Linked DNA regions of Schizosaccharomyces pombe. The protein of the gene in region 1 binds, or shares a complex with, the protein of each later gene. Each region holds a gene or a part of one and is shown on either strand. Other genes may lie near its edges.

The links. The genes of interacting proteins can lie anywhere in the genome.
Region 2: clr4 (region 1) and rik1 share a complex: the UniProt entries of both Schizosaccharomyces pombe proteins name them as parts of the clr4 methyltransferase complex.
Region 3: clr4 (region 1) and raf1 share a complex: the UniProt entries of both Schizosaccharomyces pombe proteins name them as parts of the clr4 methyltransferase complex.

What each region holds. Positions count from the first base shown.
Region 1 is NC_003423.3:452,252-462,367, forward strand, and holds clr4 (histone lysine H3-K9 methyltransferase (Suv39) Clr4), read right to left. Parts: upstream 6,160-10,116; 5' UTR 5,797-6,159; coding exon 4,324-5,796; 3' UTR 4,062-4,323; coding exon of another isoform or gene 2,751-4,061; 3' UTR 2,694-2,750; coding exon of another isoform or gene 2,417-2,693; 3' UTR 2,347-2,416; coding exon of another isoform or gene 1,979-2,346; 3' UTR 1,745-1,978; downstream 1-1,744. Other genes in the region: Clr6 and Rpd3L histone deacetylase complex subunit Rxt2, read right to left, coding at 1-165, 346-454, 504-628, 679-713, 763-788; pleckstrin homology domain protein Meu6, read left to right, coding at 1,979-2,346, 2,417-2,693, 2,751-4,061; SPOM_SPBC428.10 (uncharacterized protein), read left to right, coding at 8,773-10,116. UniProt on the Schizosaccharomyces pombe protein: Histone methyltransferase which contributes to the establishment of heterochromatin by specifically methylating histone H3 to form H3K9me. Part of the Clr4 methyltransferase complex (ClrC).
Region 2 is NC_003421.2:1,465,997-1,472,412, reverse strand, and holds rik1 (CLRC ubiquitin ligase complex WD repeat protein Rik1), read right to left. Parts: upstream 4,532-6,416; 5' UTR 4,240-4,531; coding exon 1,117-4,239; 3' UTR 633-1,116; coding exon of another isoform or gene 600-632; 3' UTR 557-599; downstream 1-556. Other genes in the region: SPOM_SPCC11E10.09C (alpha-amylase-like protein), read left to right, coding at 1-46, 113-556, 600-632; translation initiation factor eIF2B alpha subunit Gcn3, read left to right, coding at 6,407-6,416. UniProt on the Schizosaccharomyces pombe protein: Component of the Clr4 methyltransferase complex (ClrC) which contributes to the establishment of heterochromatin by specifically methylating histone H3 to form H3K9me.
Region 3 is NC_003421.2:99,216-104,264, reverse strand, and holds raf1 (CLRC ubiquitin ligase complex WD repeat subunit Raf1/Dos1), read left to right. Parts: upstream 1-2,000; 5' UTR 2,001-2,093; coding exon 2,094-4,010; 3' UTR 4,011-4,549; downstream 4,550-5,049. Other genes in the region: rhp16 (ATP-dependent helicase), read left to right, coding at 1-1,580; protein meu23, read left to right, coding at 4,780-5,049. UniProt on the Schizosaccharomyces pombe protein: Component of the Clr4 methyltransferase complex (ClrC) which contributes to the establishment of heterochromatin by specifically methylating histone H3 to form H3K9me.

The DNA.
Region 1 (10,116 bases):
AAAGTGCAACCATCAATTGTTCGAGATGAGCAGTATATTTGTGTTCAGCAGATATAATTTCAAGAGCAGAAGAAGCAAGGATTGATAAATAATTTTGTTCAAATATGGAAGATATAGCAGGATGTGTGAGCAAGTCTTGTGGTTTTGTCAGCGGTGACATGATCTCTATAATTTTTACTGAGTTAGCAAGCGATCGATGTATATGACCATGATTGGCGAGTGCTGATAACTAATATTTCAATTCAATTCATAATCAATCTTTGAAAACACAACACGAAATCTCCAAAAGCACAATGAATCAAAAAAATTGTATGTCTAACATAACTAAGTGTGTGTACGACTTACCAGCTATGTTTATATCGTTATATGGGTTATCATGGTCCAACCATTCCGGATCTATTCTCCTTCGAAAATGAGAGACAACTCCTCTTTTAGTATTACCAATGTTATAGTACTATAAAGTAGTGGTTAGCAGTTTACGATTCCCAATTACTCACACATACATCAATGTCTATAGAGGAGCCACTAGAGTTACCGACGCAACCATAATATACATTTTTCGATCCTTTCTTTCTTTTTAATCCACGATTTGTAAGTGCCTCTCCAATGGAAGAGTCGGAATCCGAGGCTATACGAGATGTTAGTGAAAATTATAAATCTCATTTTGACAATAATTACCATCAGAATCTTCAAATAACGCCTGCTTAAACCTTCTAAATTTGTTAGAAAAATACATAATACGTGACATTCATAAAAACCTACTCAATTTGTTCTTCAAATTGCTTCATGGTTTTTGGCACGTCAGATATTCATACTTACTCAATCCAGTACAAATTAGCGATTTCTATCGCATTATAGCGTTTACATAAAATGCGAAAATAACCTGGCGTAAGTTGGGTTACTTATTCAATTTATAAATAAATAGTATTGAAACAAAAATATACATTGTTTTAATCGTTAGAGGTAAGCTGCTAGTATTCTTGAATAATAAGAAAAATCCCTTTCCGCAGGTAGGGCCTGGTTTATTTTGCTTTCTCGATATTCCTTTTCCAATTTTTACATGGATGGAAAGACCAGCTTTTTAACTTAAAAAAATATTTAAAAAAAATAATTAATCCATAGAGAATAATGTATTATTATGGAACTTTTATATTCTCACACTTTTTCTCCTACAAACTTATGTCGTTATAATGAAACAAATTGCTATAGTTTTCTTGGAAGAAGTGTAAATATTAAAAGGAAATTTCCAATTCAAAGATGTGGAAAGCATTAAAAAACATCCTTCCATTCTATTGAAAATTTTAAACAATTTGAAAATACCTCGAGTTTGGATTTGCTTTTTTGAAACTAGCGTTCGTCAAAAATAATAAGTAAATAAATAAAAATTTAAAATCTCGTAAAATTCTTACCAATTAAAACCTACTTAGTTTTTAAGCAAAACAAATGAGCAGAATAGTTAAACAACATTTAATTTTTATAAAAAAAGGAACTAATGGTGACAATCATGTATAAAGTCAATGAAAAATATGGCTCATCTGTTGTTGTTAAACAGATTTCAACTCAAATGAAAATTTTAGGATGGTAGTCGCAATTAGAAATTAAAGACAAACACTTAATTGTAAAATCTCTCAATACTATATAGTTCATTCAATCGCAGACAGCTCGATTCCAGAAGAATGTATATGTTTTGATACGAATGAGCGAATACAAGATTTAATGGCCGTTGAAGATTTTATTAATAAGAATGAATTAGTAGAAATTTTTTAACATTTAAAAAGTAAATTCTATGTATTTTCCCTTTTCTATTGATGTCCATCGTTTGTTTGTATATTAGGTAGTCGATTTGTTTGTTTACATTCTCGCCAACAATTGGTATTCAAATAACCAGCTTGGCGCAGACTTTTCCTCTACCACAAATATTTACAGCATAAAAAAAATCCAAAATTGAGAGCCTAACTGTTGTTTTCGACTTCTTATCATGTCTTATGAGGGCCGTGAAGAACGACCTGAGCAGATTGCTGAACCTACTTTCGAAAATGTGTCGGAACACAATGAACATGATTCGGGATCTGCTGAGGCCCAGGTGGAGACACTGGAGGTGCCATTGAGCAACGAAACCGACAATGATGATGCCACTGAAAACGCTGTTCCTGCAGAAGTACAAGCACCTGAGGAACCCAAGGAGCCTGAAACAGTCGACAATATCGATCCTGCAGATGATGATCCAAACAGCGTGGCAGCTCCCAAGGTTGAAGAAAAAAAATCCAAGAAGAAAGCCAAGGATGAAAAACCATTGACCTACACCACTGGTGGGTATTTATACTGTCGATCCAACGGACTTATTCCGTAAGTCAAAACAGCATCCATTTATTAAAAATCAAACAATCGATTGAGTAATCTTACTAACCACATGTAGTCATGTCATGAAAAGGTATTTTTATATGCTAGAAGGCCCTATGTCTATGGATTTATTAGACCATTATTATAAAAAACACTTCCATGGTACTTTGCAAGGTAACCCAACGGAACCTTCCTTAGCTTCTGAGCAAATGCACGACTCTGATGCTGATTCCCTCTTCCAGTCTGCTAATGATCACCTTAACCGTATCGCTAAAGCTACTCAAGACTGCCGTGGTTTACTCTTTTACTCCAAATCTCAATCAACTAGTGTCCCAAGCGGAATCATTAATTTGGTAAGAATTCCTAATTCCCCTGATTTTTAGTTTTAACCGTGCTAACTGTATTTTCAGACTGATGCAGTATCCATAGAACCCGGTACTGGAAACAAATTCACCATCAATTTTAACAATGGTAAATCAGAAACACTTGAAGCCCTAGACCCAGAAAGTAAAAATACATGGATTACTGATCTCAAAAATGCCATTGCTAAGAAAAAGGAAACCAAAGATAAAATTAAAGAGCTTCGTGCTTACAATGACACGCTTAAAAGACTCGGCAAGTTAGCAGCTCGTTCAGGTCCTTCAGCAAGTGAAACATTTCGTTATTTCCTTCCAATGCTTTCTAACGGACGGGACGCGAAAAAGTCATCTAGTAAATCTCATGGCGGAAAACAAAACAATTCTGTTGCCAAAGACGGTCTTTTTGACTTTTTTCAAAACATGATTAAGGGGAAAACTCCGCAAAACGATACGGCTAGTCCCATTGATAATGAAACGTCAGCTGACCCGGTTGATACTACTGTTGAAGCACAATCAGTCGAAGTTCCTGAGAATGAAACTAACCAAATTCCCACCACTGAAGAACATTTTCCTGCTACTACGGAAGAAGTGGCTCCCGCATCAGAAGAAAAACCAGCCACAGGTCCGGCAGAAGAATCAACATCAACTCAAAATGTTGAGCAAGCTTCTACTCAAAATGATAACGGAACCCCCATCGGTCAAATAGCAGACGCCATTGAAGAAGATGTTAAAGGTACAGCCCAATCAGTTGAACAAGCTTTCATAGAAGAGACTGATATTGCACTTCCTGATATAGCACTTCCCGATGTTGCGACCCCTACTGCAGACGATCAAGACCCTTCCACTGCAGCTACTAATGAAGAGAGTGTTGTCAGCAATGAAGATAGAACGTCTAAGAAAGCCGGAAAAAAGCATCATCGGCATCATAAGAAGAAAAAAGGAGGCAACAAGAGAGTATTCGGCTTTAAGCTTCACAAGTATGCTAAACCTACCAAAAGTGTTAAAACTTTACAGGCAGATCCTTCCCTTGAATTTGCTAAGGCAGGATTTGAGATATTTCCTTCCAACCTTTCAAAGAAGCTCTCAGGTTTGGTGCAAAAAAAAGTGCATAAGAAGTTTGATAAAGACGGGAGACTAAAAGAAATTTCCCAGTTCTCAAAAACCACAATAAAACCGGAAACTCCCTTAACTCCTACAACAACTCCAACGCCTCGAACAGCTGCACAAGAAGACCCAGCTGAAGAAACAACTGATGCCCTCGCCTCAGCAGAAGGAGAAAACAATCAGATGCCCCAGGTGCTCGAAACAGAAGCAGCTCCTTCTATAGCTTCTGAAGGACGGTCCATTACCGTTAACGCTTAAACGCCCTTTTTACTTCACATGTGCGCAGCAGATGAAAAGAGTTTTTCCATTAACGCTAGGCTTTACAACAATTACTATAATGCTTTCAACAAGTGTAAAAAATATAAGCACCGATATGTTTTACCGATAATTGTTCGGCAAATCCCACAGGTCAGATAATATACATAATCTCGTTGCTTAGAAAATGAATGACCTTTTTCAGTTTAACAGTAATGGAGAAAAACAAATTGTAATTATTGGAGTCAACCAGTAATAAATTAGCTTAACCGAAAAGCCAGCCACGACAATTAGCGGAACCACATTTGCACTGCCGGCGAAGTTTTGAAATTCTATTTTGCTGAGATTTTTGAGATTGAACAGGTGAGAAATCTTTTGCACCAGCGTAATCAAATGTAAGCTCCTCTAGAGGCTGAATGTCTTTGATGGCAAAAAAAGCGAGATCATAAATGGTTCGAAATCCATGGTTCCGAACAGCAGAATAAATAGCTATATTAGGTGAACAGGAGTGGTTAAAAAAACGAGAGACATCTCCATAGTTCTGAGCATCCACTGTATACTCGCTAGCATCATCAAACATGTCTAAATCAAATAAATAGGTAATACCGTCGTCGTCATAATTTTTGTCACGCTTGGCGGCCTCTGCTGAAGTTATGACTTCTCCTAAATAGCAAGTGATAAACGTGCCAGCAGGGGCAAATCGAAGCGAACGTACACCCCATCCTTTTTCTTTTGTTTTAAATATTTCAAGCGGAAGAGTTCTACCACGTTGAACAACGCGATTAGGACACTCCATTGAACAAGAACAAAAAGAGTTGCATTCATATATAACGGCACCCGTATCTGCACGGACCCGCCCCTGTGCATCATAGGCAAAATGAGTTGGCTCATCCAAATCATCTAAACACTCACAACGAGAAGGATTGTTAAGGTCACAACCGCCAAGGGACGAGCAATTGCATCCAGATTGAAAATTTGGATCAGGCGGGATAACACCTTGTGTTAAGCGGTACTGGCTAATGAATTGAAAATCTAAAGATGGACAGGGTTCATCGTCAACTTCATTGACAAGCGTTACTTCGGGTCCTTCAATTTCCCGCAGTTTCTTACGAAATAGCTCTCTCTTTTCGTAAAAACTTAGATGGGTATAAGAGTCAAGTTTGGAAGGGTTTCGCGGTTTTGTGAGAATTGAAGATGTTTTGGGGGATGTAGCTTCTTTAATAGAATTGGAAACTAGTTCTCTTTTTTGAGATTCCTCCTTCACTTCATTTCTCGTCTTCCCCAGCTTCTTTGAATTTGTATGAAGACTATCGTCTAAAATGATACTAGTATCATTCGTCGTCAGAGCGGTGGATTGTTTTCGAGATTGTCTCTTGGTAGTTTGAGAAGAAAAAACCTTTTTATTTTCCTTTTTTACATTCAATTCCCGCGAAAATCTTTGAGAACGAGGCACTGACTTTGAAGTTTGATGTTGGTGCTTTTGTCTACTGTTTGGATGTGGATTGCTCGCATGGTGCGGTGAATCCGAGTCGGAGTTACTTCCCTTTAGTCTCCTCTTCCGCCTTTTCCATTCTGCTAAAACGGCAGAACATCCAGAAAGGTTCTCAGGGGGCTCCCAAGTATCACTTCTAGATGAATAGTTCAACCATCGAATGCGATATAGTTTGACAGCTCCATTACGATCCAATTTTTCGTCCACAATCCTTTCAACTTCATACTCCTCTTGTTTAGGCGACATTCGCAAAACTAATAACCTCTTGTTTGGTGAGATGATTTTTAGCAAACCCTCCAAATGATGCCTGAACGAATTTAAAAAATAAAATAAGGAGAGGGTTTATGTTAATATGACAATTGCTAAAGGACTAAAATAATAGACGACCGCGAACTCAGAATATAAAACTGAATGTTTTTTAGTAATGAGCAATAAATATATAAAGTCGATGTGTTCAATTTCAGAGCAAAATTGAAGCTCTGAAATTTGAAAAAGGTATCAAGTACAAAGTAATTTTAAAGTTATAATATACAAATCAACTTTCAAACAACAATCCAAACTAGCAATGCCAATTCATGTTATAACAGTTTGTATTTCGACCAGGTTGTTGAATCGCACTCCTTTACAGAAGTCAAAATTTAAAGAAACGGAGAATCGCCCCGTAAAGGAAATACGGTGTTAACAACACACTGCTCTAATGAAGAACACGTAACGTATCACTATATGTCATATGTTAGGATATTACTTTAGAGCAGTTTATTGATAAATGCGCAAAACCATTTTCATATTTACATAGACGCTGGCTAATGAAGACTAAAAAGATTATAAATTGAGCTGCAACTGAACTGAGGAATGAACTTCAGTTATAAGCTATATTAGTTATAGGTCACAATGCAATCTAGATAATTTAATACCTATACTCAATTGCTACTTGTAATACCTGTGTATTGTAATACGTTAACAAGGAAAAATTACCGCAGTTCTATGTTATCGTTAAAGCAGATACCAAACTGCGTAGCTGACTTTGTATCAGTGTGCAGCACGGAGTCTAACCCATCTGTGTCTAAATAAGAAAGTTGAGCGTTTTTAAAAAACAATAGTATGTTCAATTGCTCTATAATAATAAAAGAAATGAAACAACAGTAAGATTGTCCATAGAAAAACTTTTTACACAATTAGTCGCATCGCCATTTTTATAATGATTAAAAACTATTATATTTGACTATCGGGTTTTGATTTCGGTACAAAGAATGCCTATAAACAAGCTTCTCGCAAAATTAATAAAGTAAGGAACCAAATACCTTTGCATTCGAGCATTCATTTTTTAATAATGGTTAAACTTGAGCTCATTAGATAAACAAGGTCAATTAAAAAAGATTGAGTCTCCAGCCAACTTTCAGAACGCGATAACCCATAACCCATTCTAGAAGCACATGTTGGTATTTGGTTTTTTCGCTTGTTAATTTTGAATGACAATGGAGAAGTCATGTACTCCATTTCTGGATAAATTTTCTGCAGGCTCTAAAGGTTGATTAACAGTAGCCAATCCAAAATGTTGCTAATTTGGTTCAATTTTGAATTGCAAATCGGTGGTGCCAACATGCCTTAAAAAGTTCCATTTAAATTTAAACTTTGAAAAAATGAATAAAGAAAACAAAAAACCATACATGCTTTGACCCATATCTCTAGTGCTTCTTAATACTCTATGTGAAAGCTCCCTTGATAATTGTCGATCTCAATTAGATGGTGCGATAAATTCACCAGACTACAAACTCAAAATTTGATTGCAGAATACCTACTGTACATTAGATATATTTTTTGAACGAAGCCTTTAATCCTATCCCTTCATACCATAAACAAAAAAACAAAGCCCAATATAACATGCCAGGGATTCAATATTACCAATGATGCCTCTAGTGAATGAGAATGAAATTTCAGATCCATATACTGTGCACAAAAGATTCAACAAATACACTTTGAATGTAACTAATATTGTAGCCACCATACCGGGTTGCGAAATTTTCAATGTGGAATAGGCCATACCGAAGACAAAATCTCTGTATATATTTACGATTTTTCAATTGTATTTCTTGCTTTTAATCTTGCTTTATTATTTATTATTTGAAGTGTGAAAGGACAAGATGTAAATATATTAACAATTGCATATTCGCCTCTTATAGAATTATGACGGAAATTACCTACTTGCCGAACGAATGTGAAAATAAATAAAAGTTCTTTAGCATCTTTGGAAAAAAGAGATTAATTTCGTTTAGTTAAAGCATTACCATATAAACGGCTTTGTACGATGTGCATGAGCAAAGTCCATAGATATCAAACAAATGAGAGTTAACCCGTTCAAAATAAATAGTATCTTTTCAACAAGATTCCTTCTCCAAGTTATTAGAAGAAAAATCTTGACATGTATTTGATAGTCTTTCAATTGAAAAAAAAAATATATATATATACGCAGAAAACAGGGGTTTTCGTTATTATTTACATGCGAATTAGTTTTTATTTTTAACTGATATCGTATTTTATAAATAACACATGTATTTTTATATAATTTTATAAGATTTCCGCCAACATACGCTATATACTTTCTTTTGTTTATAACGGAGCGAACGAGTAGTTCTACGACCAAATCGGTTTTGACAGTGCGTGTAAAATTACACAGCTGCTTTTCCAAGAATTTATGAGAGAATTTCTCGTCTAAGATACAATTCGGAGAAATCGAGGACTGGAAAACCAGTCGCAGTTTCCCGTTTTTTTAGGATCAGAAAACAAAAGAAGTATCAGGTCTTGTTCCCAATGAAGAGAAATTGATAAAATATAAATTGAATTACAAATAATTGTTTAATTAGGATTGAGAAGCAGCACCGTTTATATGCATATTTGAGCCAATTCAAGCCTTTTAAATTAAGGATGTTGGCTTCAATTTCACTAAGCGATTTTGGCGCATTCCAGCGTTCGTATCCTAAACTAGCCCATGAGGTCATGGATACGATGTATAGGTTGTAATGAAATACATAGCTTTTCCATTTACCAACTCCATCGTGGAGGGACGGATTTGGGAAATTGGAAGAATCTACTTTTGAAGAATATATAATTACAAAATTTTGGACAACTACCATTACTTTGTAGGCCAATTGTCACGTTGACTTGTTTTGTGAGACGTAAACAACATTCGGAAATAAGGCGCGCGCGTAAGGTTGGTTGAACACAATGAAAAGAAAATCTTCACATTATAATGATGCGCATGCATCTCATATAAATGAAGATATCGAGGAATCTTACAAGGATTTGTACAACAATTTAAGCCCAAGCTCGACTATTTTGCTGCTTTTGTATGCGCGATGGTTCCCTGCAACACTGATACATTTCTTGGACAAATACTACACTTCTACGCCCATATTGATTGATATGATTCACAAGCAATGCATTTATAACCCTCCGAAAGGCTCGCTACATGTACAACTTGAATATTACCTCGCTTTCCTGAATAGAATGGCTCTCATCTTTGACAGATTTCCTGATCTGTTTCCCACTGAAATTTCCAAAGTTAAATTTTTTACAAAGGATTTCTCCAAGAAGGATAAATTAACTGCTTTGGATACCTATAGGTCGTTCCCGGGTTCTACTTGGAAAACGATCGTGACTTTTGCTACACAAGAAGTTTTCTATCTGCCGGAAGGACTGGAGCCTTTAAAAAGAGATTTTTCTTCTATGGATAAGCTTAAATTGATTGGAAAAATCACATATAAACTTAGGTTGAAGGGGGATACAGCCCTGAAATTTGCCTATCTTCACGCTCCCTCTGACGTAAGAGACAAGGTTTTCGACGATGCGTTTTGGCAAGAGATTATAACTCCCAAAGCCTCCTTGGAACAGCAATCAAATAATATTCCTACGGGAATCCAGGATTCGAGCAAGTATACTGTTAACGGACCTACGGAAAGAGACAACAAGTCTATGAAATCGTTTGTACGATCGTTCTTTACGTCGACGGATTCATCTGTTGCTGATACTACAATTATTCCGTCAATGACTCAACAGTTTGACAAAGATCCATCGACTCTCGTCCAAAGCAGTATTGATAAAGAAATTCAGGTAAAAGAAGACGGTACTACCTCTTCCGTTGCCGTTAATGCTGAAACAGCGGTTCAGAACGTAAACGGAACCATCAAGGAATCACAAGGCACTGAATCCATTTCGTTTGCTTCGAAAAACAATTCCGCACCTTCGGCAGATGCCAACAACGGTAATATGACAAAGTTAGTATCAAAGGAAAAAGCTTTCCTCAATACCGTTACTACCCCAAATGCTGATTTGATTATTTCCGAGGAAGATGAGCTAACGGAAATGACTCTCCGTACTGCTAACGGCTCCGAACCTACCAAGAAATCTAATAGAAGTGAGCAGAGTAAAACTGTTGCCAATACCAATGTTGGTAGTAAGAACGGCACTACTCCCCGTTCTTTTGCTCAGAAATCATCTAAAAGGATTAAACCGACAGAAGGCTCGGCTAACCTTAATACTGTTACCGAGTTGACAGGAATTGGCTCACGA
Region 2 (6,416 bases), on another chromosome or scaffold:
AAATCATGATTTTCCTCGCTTTTTTCATGAAACCAAAGACATCGCCGTAAGTCTATTGAACAATATTTCAATTTAGTACCTGCATTTTTTATATATTTTAACATTTATTTAGCTGGCTCTTAACGCATTAACTGCACTTATTTTCATGGACGGTATTCCAATTATCTATTATGGACAAGAACAGATGTTTGACGGTGGTAGCGATCCTGACAACAGAGAAGGTCTTTGGAAAAGTAAATACAATACTTCCAATCCAATGTTTAGACATCTTTCTTCAATGATACGCACGCGTCAAAATTTGGTTGAGACCTACCCAGAGTTTACATACGTGCTATCTTTTCAACTATACATTGACGATTCAGTTTATGTATTTACTCGTCCAGGAGTCATTATAGCCATAAGCAATGAAGGCTCTACCTCGTCGTTTAAAGTTGAAATAGATTTGAAAGAACACTGGAAAGAAGTGCCTTCAAGTTTTACAGATATTCTTACTCAGAAAACCATCCCCTGTAAAGACCATAAACTGAAGATCAAATCAAAAAGTGGCTTGCCAAAGGTAAGCATTTAGTTCATGTTTTATTCTACTAACAATTTTTAAGATCCTAATTTCCTCTGACCCTAGCTTCCTATAGAGAAATTACACTAGAGTTTCTCCAGTTTAATTACACTCCAAAAATACTTGGCAACACGTGATCGCCAAATGGAGAAAGTTTTTTTTTAATTTTTTAGCTTAAAAAATTCCTTTGAGCTTTTATGCCAGTTGAAGTGCTCAGTTTCTGTCATATGAAATTTAATAGTTTCATTTTAATTATTGAAATCCAGAATATATGTCATCTCGTCTTAGATAGATGAGCGATGCAACAATTATGACAAATATCTTGAATTTCGAAGAAGATTTTACGAAAGAAATTGAGACTGATAACTTTTTAACCAAGCTTTATGTACTTGTATTTATCAGTGCCATGTTGCGACAGCTTGTGACTTATAATTATAAATCAAAAGATTTTTTTTGTATTACTCACAAATGCATAATACAGTCCTAGAACCAAACTTCCAAATTTGCAATGATCCATAAAGTGTAAGATAATAACTCAGAGCAAAAAGGCAATAATACGTTTAACATAAACTTTGTATTTCCTCAAGGAGGGCTTGAACTTTTTGGTAAGAATTGAGTGATTCCCTATGTTCTACACTTCTGCATAATCGGAAAAGTTCTGAAGATGCCCATCTTTTGACATCGATAACCAAGTCTCCATCAATAAACGGGACTGGAGAAATGAGGTCTGCTTCTATACTTTCGTAGTCCATAGATGACAAGTATGAAAATTTTAATTTTCGAATTTTTCTTGTAAGTTCCTCCAGTTCTAGCTCCTTATCTTTTAATGATACTATACTCCCAATAGCACCAATTTCCGTTGCAAAAAGCATTTTTGGCTCTAAAAACGAATTGGTATTTGTTATTGGGAAATTTTGAAATTTGCTAACTTTATCATGCAGATGGTACACACTTTCACAAATGAATCTGTCATTAAAGTTTTTTGCATCTTTGTTATAACGAAGAAGTTTTAGCAAGCCACTATTAGTTGCTATTATATAAACTGTTCCTTCATATAATGCTGCTTTCACAATGTTTTCTCCAAAAAGGTATCTGGCAACGACAATAAACTTTTGGCCATCGAAGTACATAATCGTAAAACGTCCAATACTGTCCGCTATAGCAATCTCGTTACCCTCTACGATGAGTTGTAAAACTATAGAACCTAGTGATATCCTAGAATCTATCATAAGCCTTTCCTCGGTAAGTTTAACGATTGCAACTTGTTGCCCAAATGCAACGATGTATCGATCATTATATACCCCCAGATCTATCACGGCCGCAGATAGTACCATAGACGAAACTACCTTCAAAGACTGAAGCTCCTTTTCAAACTCTAACAAAATTAATCTTCCATTTACCGGCACCAACTTATCTTGTTCTATAATGCTTGTTCCTACAAGTAAAGAACTCTCATTAATCTTCAAAACTTTCTCACAACGTTCATTTTCGGTAAAAGAAAAAACCCTGAACGAATTATCATCATAACTATCGACCAACTCCAAGTGATAATTTTCCTTGTAACTTTCGTAATCTTCATATCTATTCTCGAGTGTTCTAAGCAACAGTTTATTTTGAAAAATAATGGCTTGTAACGGAACATGCTCCAAAAGTACTTTTCTTGGGGTCAATTCTGGCAATGGATTAAGTTGAAGGAATTTCAAGCCCCCTAATGATACAGAAATGAGAAAATCCTTCCCTGAGTTATCACGAAACTGACACACATCATAACTTTGAGGCATACTAAGCGGCATATAACATAGTGCTCCATTAAACCCATATACCATGTGTGGACAGTCATTGTTGCATATGATATAGGTACCAATATTCATCGTAAATCTCCTAAACGATACAGGGGTTGTACCGAAATGTTTTGTTTCAGAGAATACCAGATTATTTTTGAAAAGTACATAAGATTTAAATTCACCACTTCCGCTAGAAACTAAAAGAAGATTTCTGTCAACACCAACTCCTTCTAAAATAATATTTCTGGGCAATGATGGAACGTTGGTTTGAAAGGCGCAGCTAATTGACGAATTATCTGAGAATGTAAGTATCATCACCTGCTTAGACCAAAATCCAACTCCTATTTGAAATTGCGCTGAAAAATCAAGGCAAGAAATTTCACTTTCAAAAACTTTTCGTGCAACTTCTGTATCTTTTTTAAATATTGCCAATGCTGTTCCATTGATAACGATTGCGGAGTATTCTTGATAGCAAGCAGCGTTCGTGATTTTTTCAATATAAACTAAACGAGAGCGCTTTGCAGAATCGTAGATACAAAGAAAAGTAGATGTGACTTGTACAAACTCACCATTCGTCCCTGAAAGCGCAATCGTCCTTTCTTTGGTTGATAGAGATGGGTCTAGCTCTAACTGGAAATCTTCTTTGATATTAAAAGCAACAGTTTCACTAGGAAACCCGAGGAAGAGCTTATGCTCTGGATATGATGGTAGGACCATAGCTCGAAGGATGCCCGAGATTTTCGTCTGCCCTAAAATATCTAATTTCAGAGCATGTTGAAAATAAATTAAAGAAGCGTTTCTTGGTGTTCCTGCGCATACAAGGAAACTTTTTTCAATGTCGTTTTTGAGTACTAGTAAATCATGAATGGGTCCTAAGTTGGGTATTGAGTCAACATCCTTCAAAGTAGACAGGTTAATAAGTTTAGATTCCGAATTTTTGCTTCCGATAAACAAGAGTCCCTCATGGATGGAATTTAGAGAAGTAATAAAGTCGAAAGGTGGGATTGGTAGTCTTTCCATAACCAAGCTCCATTTGTTTTTTCCCAAGATACTCGAATATACTCCGAAAAGATATCCATTAGTATCACAAACAATATAATGCATCTTTTGCCCTTTCAAAGGAGTCCAATGCATATAAGTAGTACAAGGACCATTGATTGTAACAAAATTACCGCGATACATGCAATGAATAAACAAACTCTCAAAAACCAGCAAACCTCTTTTTCCAAAGGGCATGATCATTGACGGTTTAACCCGCTCAAATAGTCTAATCCCCTTTCCCAAACTTTTTGAGCTTAAATCTAAAAGAAAAGCTGTTACATAACAATCTAAGCCATCGCTGTGAAGGACCACAAGAGTTGGGGTACTGGAATCATTGAGAATGCACATATCATATATGAGATGCACTGGAAAAGAAAAAGGAAATCCGCTATCTATAGAACGGCCAGTTTTCAACCGTTCTTCGGCAGAAAGGATTCTAATACATATCATGGAAATTTCGTCAATGCTTAAAAAAATAGCACGCATCCTTAAGTCGACAAGGCAGTAGCTTTTCGCGTTGCGATTCCAAGGAAATGTAACTCGATAGCGAACTGGAGGATGGTCGACGATCACTTTTTGATAATCCTCGTCCCAATAAATCGAAAAATAAGTATCATCATTGAGAACTACAAATAAATAGTCTCTATCTAATCCTGGAGGGCGATATGGGCGTATATGTTTCACCGTAGAAAATAAAGGGATAGAGGTAAAGAATTGTAAGCCATGAACCTCACTACAGAGATAAATATTAATTTTTAAGGCTTGTAATAAAACTAAGCAGTTTTCAGATGATATAAAATGACATGAAGTCGCTGTGTCTACCGCCGTTGCCCAGAAGGAATGAACACATAAAGCCATACACGATGAAATCCATAAACTGATATAATAAAAGGAATAAAGACTTTTTTTAACAAAGAAAAAAATAAAAAAAAGAAGCTTTGAGTTGGTTCAAAAGATTATGACTAGACTTATGTGATTAAAAAACAGTTGAATACAAAAATAAAGAGTGGACGGCCAAGAGCCACAAAAGCCTAGAAAAAGGAATTCAAGATAGAAAAAATATGCTACCAAGTGACAATCTCTATCAAATCCTTACCAAAAAATTTCGATTTTGAATGAAAGTGCAAGACGCCAGTTACAGGCACTCCGCAGGGAGAAGAAACGAGATATGCAGTCTCTATACATTTTGCGCAAGCGAATTTATTGTAAAAGTTGATATGCATTTTTTAATATCAGATACTACACAAAACATTTTCTGATAATCATAAAACATAAGACATTTTCAACTTGCATCTTAACTAAGCCAAATTCTACATCAATGTTATAAATTTTAGCATTAGCCATATTGGGGGAAATCGAAAGCTATTGATATTTTTATAATTGCAAAACGATTTGATAATGTAGAGAAGATATTGGAATATGTTACTCTCATCGATGAGCAGAATTAAAAGCTATGGGAGATAACGACTATTGCTATTGAAAACAAGAACTAGGCACGCAAAGAAATATATACCTTCTTTACTATAGTGCATGGTATTAGAGTTACTTAAAAGATTATTTTAACAACTTGCCGATCACGAGGTGATTCACAGATTTATAGCATAAATGAAAACCTACGGATGTCTAGCAATAAAGTTAGGATTTTACTGAAATTCGAGTCGACAACTAAAACATAATATTTTTGTAGCATCGCTTTGAATGATTGAGCATGTAAATATTTAGATATAATTGAAAGCATAGAAATTATCATAAATGATTTTCTTTAGATGCTGAAAGTAATAGCGTTTTTTCTATACCAGTTTAGTGTTCGCGTCATCCATAAATACCGAAGTAAAATCAAGCTTAATATAAGCGAGATTTACGAAGGTTGGACTAAAGATTAGTTTCTCGTAGAAATGGTCATGAACTTTTGAAAGGTCTCTTAAACATAAAATAGTTTTTTAAAAAACTTTCTATATTACTTTTTACCAAATCCAATTACTGCTTTCATCAGTACTCCTTTTTTTTTAAAATGGAAGCGTTTTGACATATTTCGTTCATGATACGCTCAACTATTAGGAACATAGTAAATTATACTACAAATTCACTATCTATACAATGATAAGTATCGTTGAACGTTACATATTGGAAATCAACAGTCAAGCATTGTTTACTGATCACCGAGGAAGAATTTCATGATTATCCTCAGATGTACTCAGTCAAGAATATGATATTAAAATTATTCTCAATATTTAGCTTTAATTAAATATAAGCTATTTAATAAACCAATTTATATGTAAATACCATTCAAATCACCTACATAAATATCTATAGGAACATATCTGTAGATCAGTATCCAAAACGCCGTATAATGTCAGCTACGCAGTTTGGTATCTGCTTTAACGATACGAAAAACTGGTGAATTTTGCATATGATCCATTATATTATAATAGCCGGGTTATATAAGTAATGACTAAGTACTGGTATTGTACTATTTAGGTTATAATGTCACCTATCACTTATAACTGAACTGCGAAATGAGGTTTAGTTGTATCTCTATCGATTCTATCCAAATAATCTATCTGTTAATATAGTATTATCAATATCAATCTCGACATCGCATCATCTACGTTGCGTATCACTATATGTCACATGTTCTAATTATATATCGTACCATGTATGATACGATATTGAGATTGATCTTAATGATAATCTATTAAGATCTATATTATCTGAATAATATAAATAGAGCTACTGCTGAACCTCGTTCCTCAGTTCAGTTATGAGCTATATTAGTGATAGGTAACATTATAACTCAGTTAATACAATACCTATACTCAGTTGCTACTTATACAACCTGTGTATTGTAATATAATAGATCACAAGGAAAACTCACCGCAGTTCTACGTATCCTTAAATCAGATACCAAATTGCGTAGCTTACAATTTAATACAAAAAGGCATTGCCCGTTATTTGATTTTGTTGGATATCCTTAAAGTATGGAAAAGATGTTGCTACTAAGCAAGAGCGTCTAGCATCTGCGAATATGGTGGAAT
Region 3 (5,049 bases), on another chromosome or scaffold:
AGGCTCGTGATATTTCAGGAGAAGAGCTTTCGAGCTATGATGTTGTACTAACGAGTTACAATGTAATTGAATCAGTTTACAGGAAGGAACGCAGCGGATTCAGAAGGAAAAACGGTGTTGTAAAAGAAAAGTCATTACTTCATCAAATGGAGTTTTACCGAATTATACTTGATGAGGCCCATGGTATCAAATCAAGGACTTGTAACACTGCCAGAGCTGTTTGTGGCTTAAGAACGACAAGAAAGATATGTCTTTCAGGAACACCTTTGCAAAACCGTATTGGAGAATTATTTTCACTTCTTCGGTTCCTACGGGCAGATCCTTTTGCTTACTACTATTGCTTGCAATGTGAATGTAAATCTCTGCACTGGAGATTTTCCGATAGAAGTAATTGCGACGAATGCGGCCATAAACCAATGAGTCATACTTGCTATTTTAACGCTGAAATGCTAAAACCAATACAAAAGTTTGGATACGAAGGTCCAGGAAAGCTAGCTTTTAAAAAGGTGCATTCTTTATTAAAACACATTATGTTACGTCGAACAAAATTAGAGAGGGCTGATGACCTTGGATTACCTCCTCGAGTCGTTGAAGTGAGGAAAGATTTATTCAACGAAGAAGAGGAAGATGTATACCAATCTTTATATATGGATTCAAAAAGAAAATTTAATACATATCTTGCTGAAGGTGTCGTTTTGAATAATTATGCAAACATTTTCCAGCTAATTACACGAATGCGCCAAATGGCAGATCATCCTGACCTGGTGTTAGCTAGCAAACGAAAAACAGTTGATATTGAAAATCAGGAAAATATCGTCTGTAAGATTTGTGACGAAGTCGCTCAAGATGCTATAGAATCACGTTGCCATCACACATTTTGTCGACTCTGCGTTACGGAATATATCAATGCAGCTGGTGATGGAGAAAATGTCAACTGTCCAAGTTGTTTCATTCCCTTAAGCATAGATCTTAGTGCCCCTGCTTTAGAAGATTTTTCTGAAGAGAAGTTTAAGAATGCATCGATTTTGAATAGAATTGATATGAATAGTTGGCGTTCATCTACAAAAATTGAAGCATTAGTTGAGGAGCTTTACTTACTTCGTAAGAAGGACCGAACACTGAAGTCGATTGTTTTCTCTCAATTTACTTCTATGTTAGATCTCATTCATTGGCGACTTCGAAAAGCCGGGTTTAATTGTGTAAAGCTAGATGGTGGTATGACCCCCAAAGCGAGAGCAGCTACTATTGAGGCTTTCAGTAACGATATTAATATTACCATTTTTCTAGTTTCGTTGAAAGCAGGTGGTGTTGCTTTGAACCTTACAGAGGCATCTCAAGTGTTTATGATGGATCCTTGGTGGAATGGAGCTGTACAGTGGCAGGCAATGGATCGAATTCATCGTATTGGACAAAAAAGGCCGATAAAAGTAATTACCCTGTGTATTGAAAATTCCATTGAAAGCAAAATTATTGAACTACAAGAAAAGAAAGCTCAGATGATACATGCAACCATAGATCAAGACGAAAAGGCTTTGAACCAGCTTTCTGTCGAGGATATGCAATTCTTGTTCTCAAATTAGAATTTTGTTTTTTTAAAATTAGCCCAAATTTTGGCCGTTTCCTTTTTATATACCTGCCATATCTCCCTTTGCATTTTTTTTGTTATCCTAGTTTTTTGGACCGTAATTCCCTAAGTCAGTATATGCGTTTTGGAAGTTTATTTATTTTTTTGGGGATTCCTATTAATGGATATAATTTATTATTGAGTTGTCAATAGAACGGTTAAAGTTTTTTAAAACAAATTAAACATAGTTAAGATTTTATCGCTTCAATGTAAAGTCATTAACTTACCTTTGACTGATAAATTTGTAATAATAGTAACTCAATAGATAATCATTATATCTTCAATTTTAATATAATATTTTCGATTTTGGAATGTCTTTATACTTTTTGGACTTAGTAAATTCTTTATATCAATCAGTGCCTTAAACTCACTCAGCAACCCATAACTTCTGTTAAACTAGTGAACTTGCACACTGAAGGATTAAAAGTAAAAAGCCCAATAATTTCTCAAACAATTTCCTATTTATGGCATGACTAATAGTTCACCACGGGTGAAAAGAAGAACGGATACGCAATATTTGCATTCCGTCTCTTCTAAATTGCCCAAGGTTGACTTTGACACAAATAACGAAGAATTTTTTGAGGAAGAATTTGAGATTTATGATCCTTTTTATCGCGCAGAGCTACCTTGCCCGAAACCGTCATTATCAATATCGAAGCATTCAATTGCAAAAGTTCCATCAAATGTAAATAAACGATTAGAATTGCAACTTTTACTAACGTCTGGGACATTCTTACCTAATTCACGTCCTTATTTGAGTGAAAGAGTGAGAAAACACACTCATTTACTTTCAAATAGCATTACAGGCGATGATAAACCATCACTCATTCATGTTGATTTTACACCAGAGGAATGCTTTATTTTACAAGAAGCTAAACTAAAATTTGGACCGGTAAACAGTGTTCAGTTCAATGATGCTTATTCGACCCACATTTCTCCAAAACTTCCTGGACGAGCATATGAAGATTGCCAGAAATTTGAAATTGATAACCCCAGCTTGTCTCCTGTGGACAAACATGGGGCCATCATTTTACGAACATACAAGAAGAATAAAAAATTACTTCCAGATTACTTAAAATCCTTTTACAATGCAGGCTCATCTTACTTCCAAAGAGAACAAGTTCATCAACTTATGGACGGGGAATCAGTTTTCTTTTTAAAACCTTGGAAACATTTCAATGAAACTAGTGGGGATACAGTGTGCGTTGCATATAATCCATTGTGCGAAAAATTTGCCTTAGGCAGCACAGCACAAGATGGTGCTTACAATAGACTAGGCAACTTATGGATTGGTGATTTTCACTCAGAAACTATTCAGTCATTGGAAAGCCATTATAAACTTAATCAAGTAGGAGAAAAGGAATACTCTACGATATCAGATTTGTGTTTTTCCAAGGGTAATCTGTTTCTTTATACAGGTGCATTCGACAATGCTGTGAAAGTCTGGGATATGGAAGGAAATTTATGTGGGATTTTTAATGCACCCACAGACTATATTCACAAGCTTGCTCTATCTGATGACGATTTACTTGCAGTAGCTTGCAAAAATGGTTATGGGTATTTATTGAGCACTGACAACTCAACAGGAGAAATTCTCACATCAGCTAATTTAATTTATCCAGAAGCTCTAGAAAAAGGGTACTCTGCATCTTTGATTGAATTTTCCAATTTTTTGGGAAGGTCATCTGACAAAGTCATTATTGGATATGATAGTTTTCATACTTCTAATAACAGAGGATGTTTGGCTCTGTTTGATGCTTCCACTGCCAGCTTCGTTCAAAAATTCAACACCGCTGACGAAGCATTTACCTCCTTATATATGCATCCTTCTCAAGTTGGATTTGTCGCAAGTAGCAATACTTTGAGCAATGGAAGAGTATATTATTTAGACACAAGAATGTATAAGGTTTGTCTCAACTTTACGACAACGCAAAAAGACATTAACCATGCCACCATAAGTAACTCTGGAATCTTGGTAACTTCTAGTGGTACAGATAACCAGACGTTTGTTTGGGATTCGCGTAAACCAGATAAACCTCTTAGCTTGCTTAAGCATGGAAAAACCAAAATGATACATTTTGACGGGGCTAATGAAGAGGAAGTCGATGCAGGTATAAATATGGCACAATGGCAGCCTAAGGGGAATTTGTTCGTTACCGGAGGCAGTGATGGCATTGTAAAGGTTTGGGATTTGAGATTGAACAATCCATTCATACAAAATTTTACGGAAATGAATTCAGCCATAACTTACGGAGGGTTCAGTGAGGATGCTTCAAAGCTAACCGTATGTTGTGTTGGAGGGGACGTCAATATGTACAGTTTGGGGAATGACAATGGTAATAAATTCGGAGAGTTTCGTATTATAGAAAATCGACTTTTAACCTGAATTGAGGTTTAAATACGAAAAGGTATATGTAAAGATGATCAGTCAATGGAGATTCGCGCTAAGAAAAATTTTCTTTATTAGACGACTAGGATACAGAGAAGGTATAAAAGAAATAATGCTCAGCTAGTATGAATATTTAATCGAATTCCTTTTCGTGGGTGAACTGGCAAGAAAATTAAAGACAGCGATCGATCCGAGAAATATTTAAGAACTGAAGAAGGCCAAAAATTTTGCAATGATTCTAAAGGATAATGGAAAATTAAACCTTAATCTCAGTGAAGGTAAAGTCAAGCTGATTATTGAATTGACGTTTACAGCAAGAAAATTTTAATAATATCTAATATGTTTCTTTAATGATCAACTGACTGGTTTGATAACTCAAAAGCAAAACATAGTAACAAACAAATGAGCTTTCACGGTTAAAGGATGAAAAATGTGTTACAAATTAAATTAAAATATCAAACATAGATAAATTTAAGTTTAGCTTAGACCCGAAACTCTTAATGTTAACAGAAATGGAGATTTTTTATGGAATGTTGAATTAACTCTTCAAGCAAACGTAATTAGTTAACTTGAAAACATGCCGTTAACAAAAACCATAATTTAATCATCAACTCACCTTTTCAATTTAAAAAAATGATGAACAACTACCGGAAGCTTTTTTGTTTACAGCTTTGGTGTTTACATATTCATGTACCACTACACTTGGCTGCACCCAGCTTGCTATTCGCGTTACTACTAAACAATATTAATTTGTAAACAATAAATTATGCCTAATACTGAAAGTGAATTGAACGAGGAATTTTCTAATGAATTTAATATTCCTCCACCAACTGAATCCTCTTCAAAGGAGGGAAATAGATTTTTAAACGACTTTCGAGTTGAATTCGAGAAAAGAAGAATAGAAGCGAGAAATAGAATATTAGAGAGTGAGGGAAGGGCCCTTGAGAACAAAACTCACCTGAATGAAGAGGAGATTCGTACAAATGAGCGCGTAAAAAGGTTTCAACGTCGAGTGGATGAGTGGACCGCGTTGGAA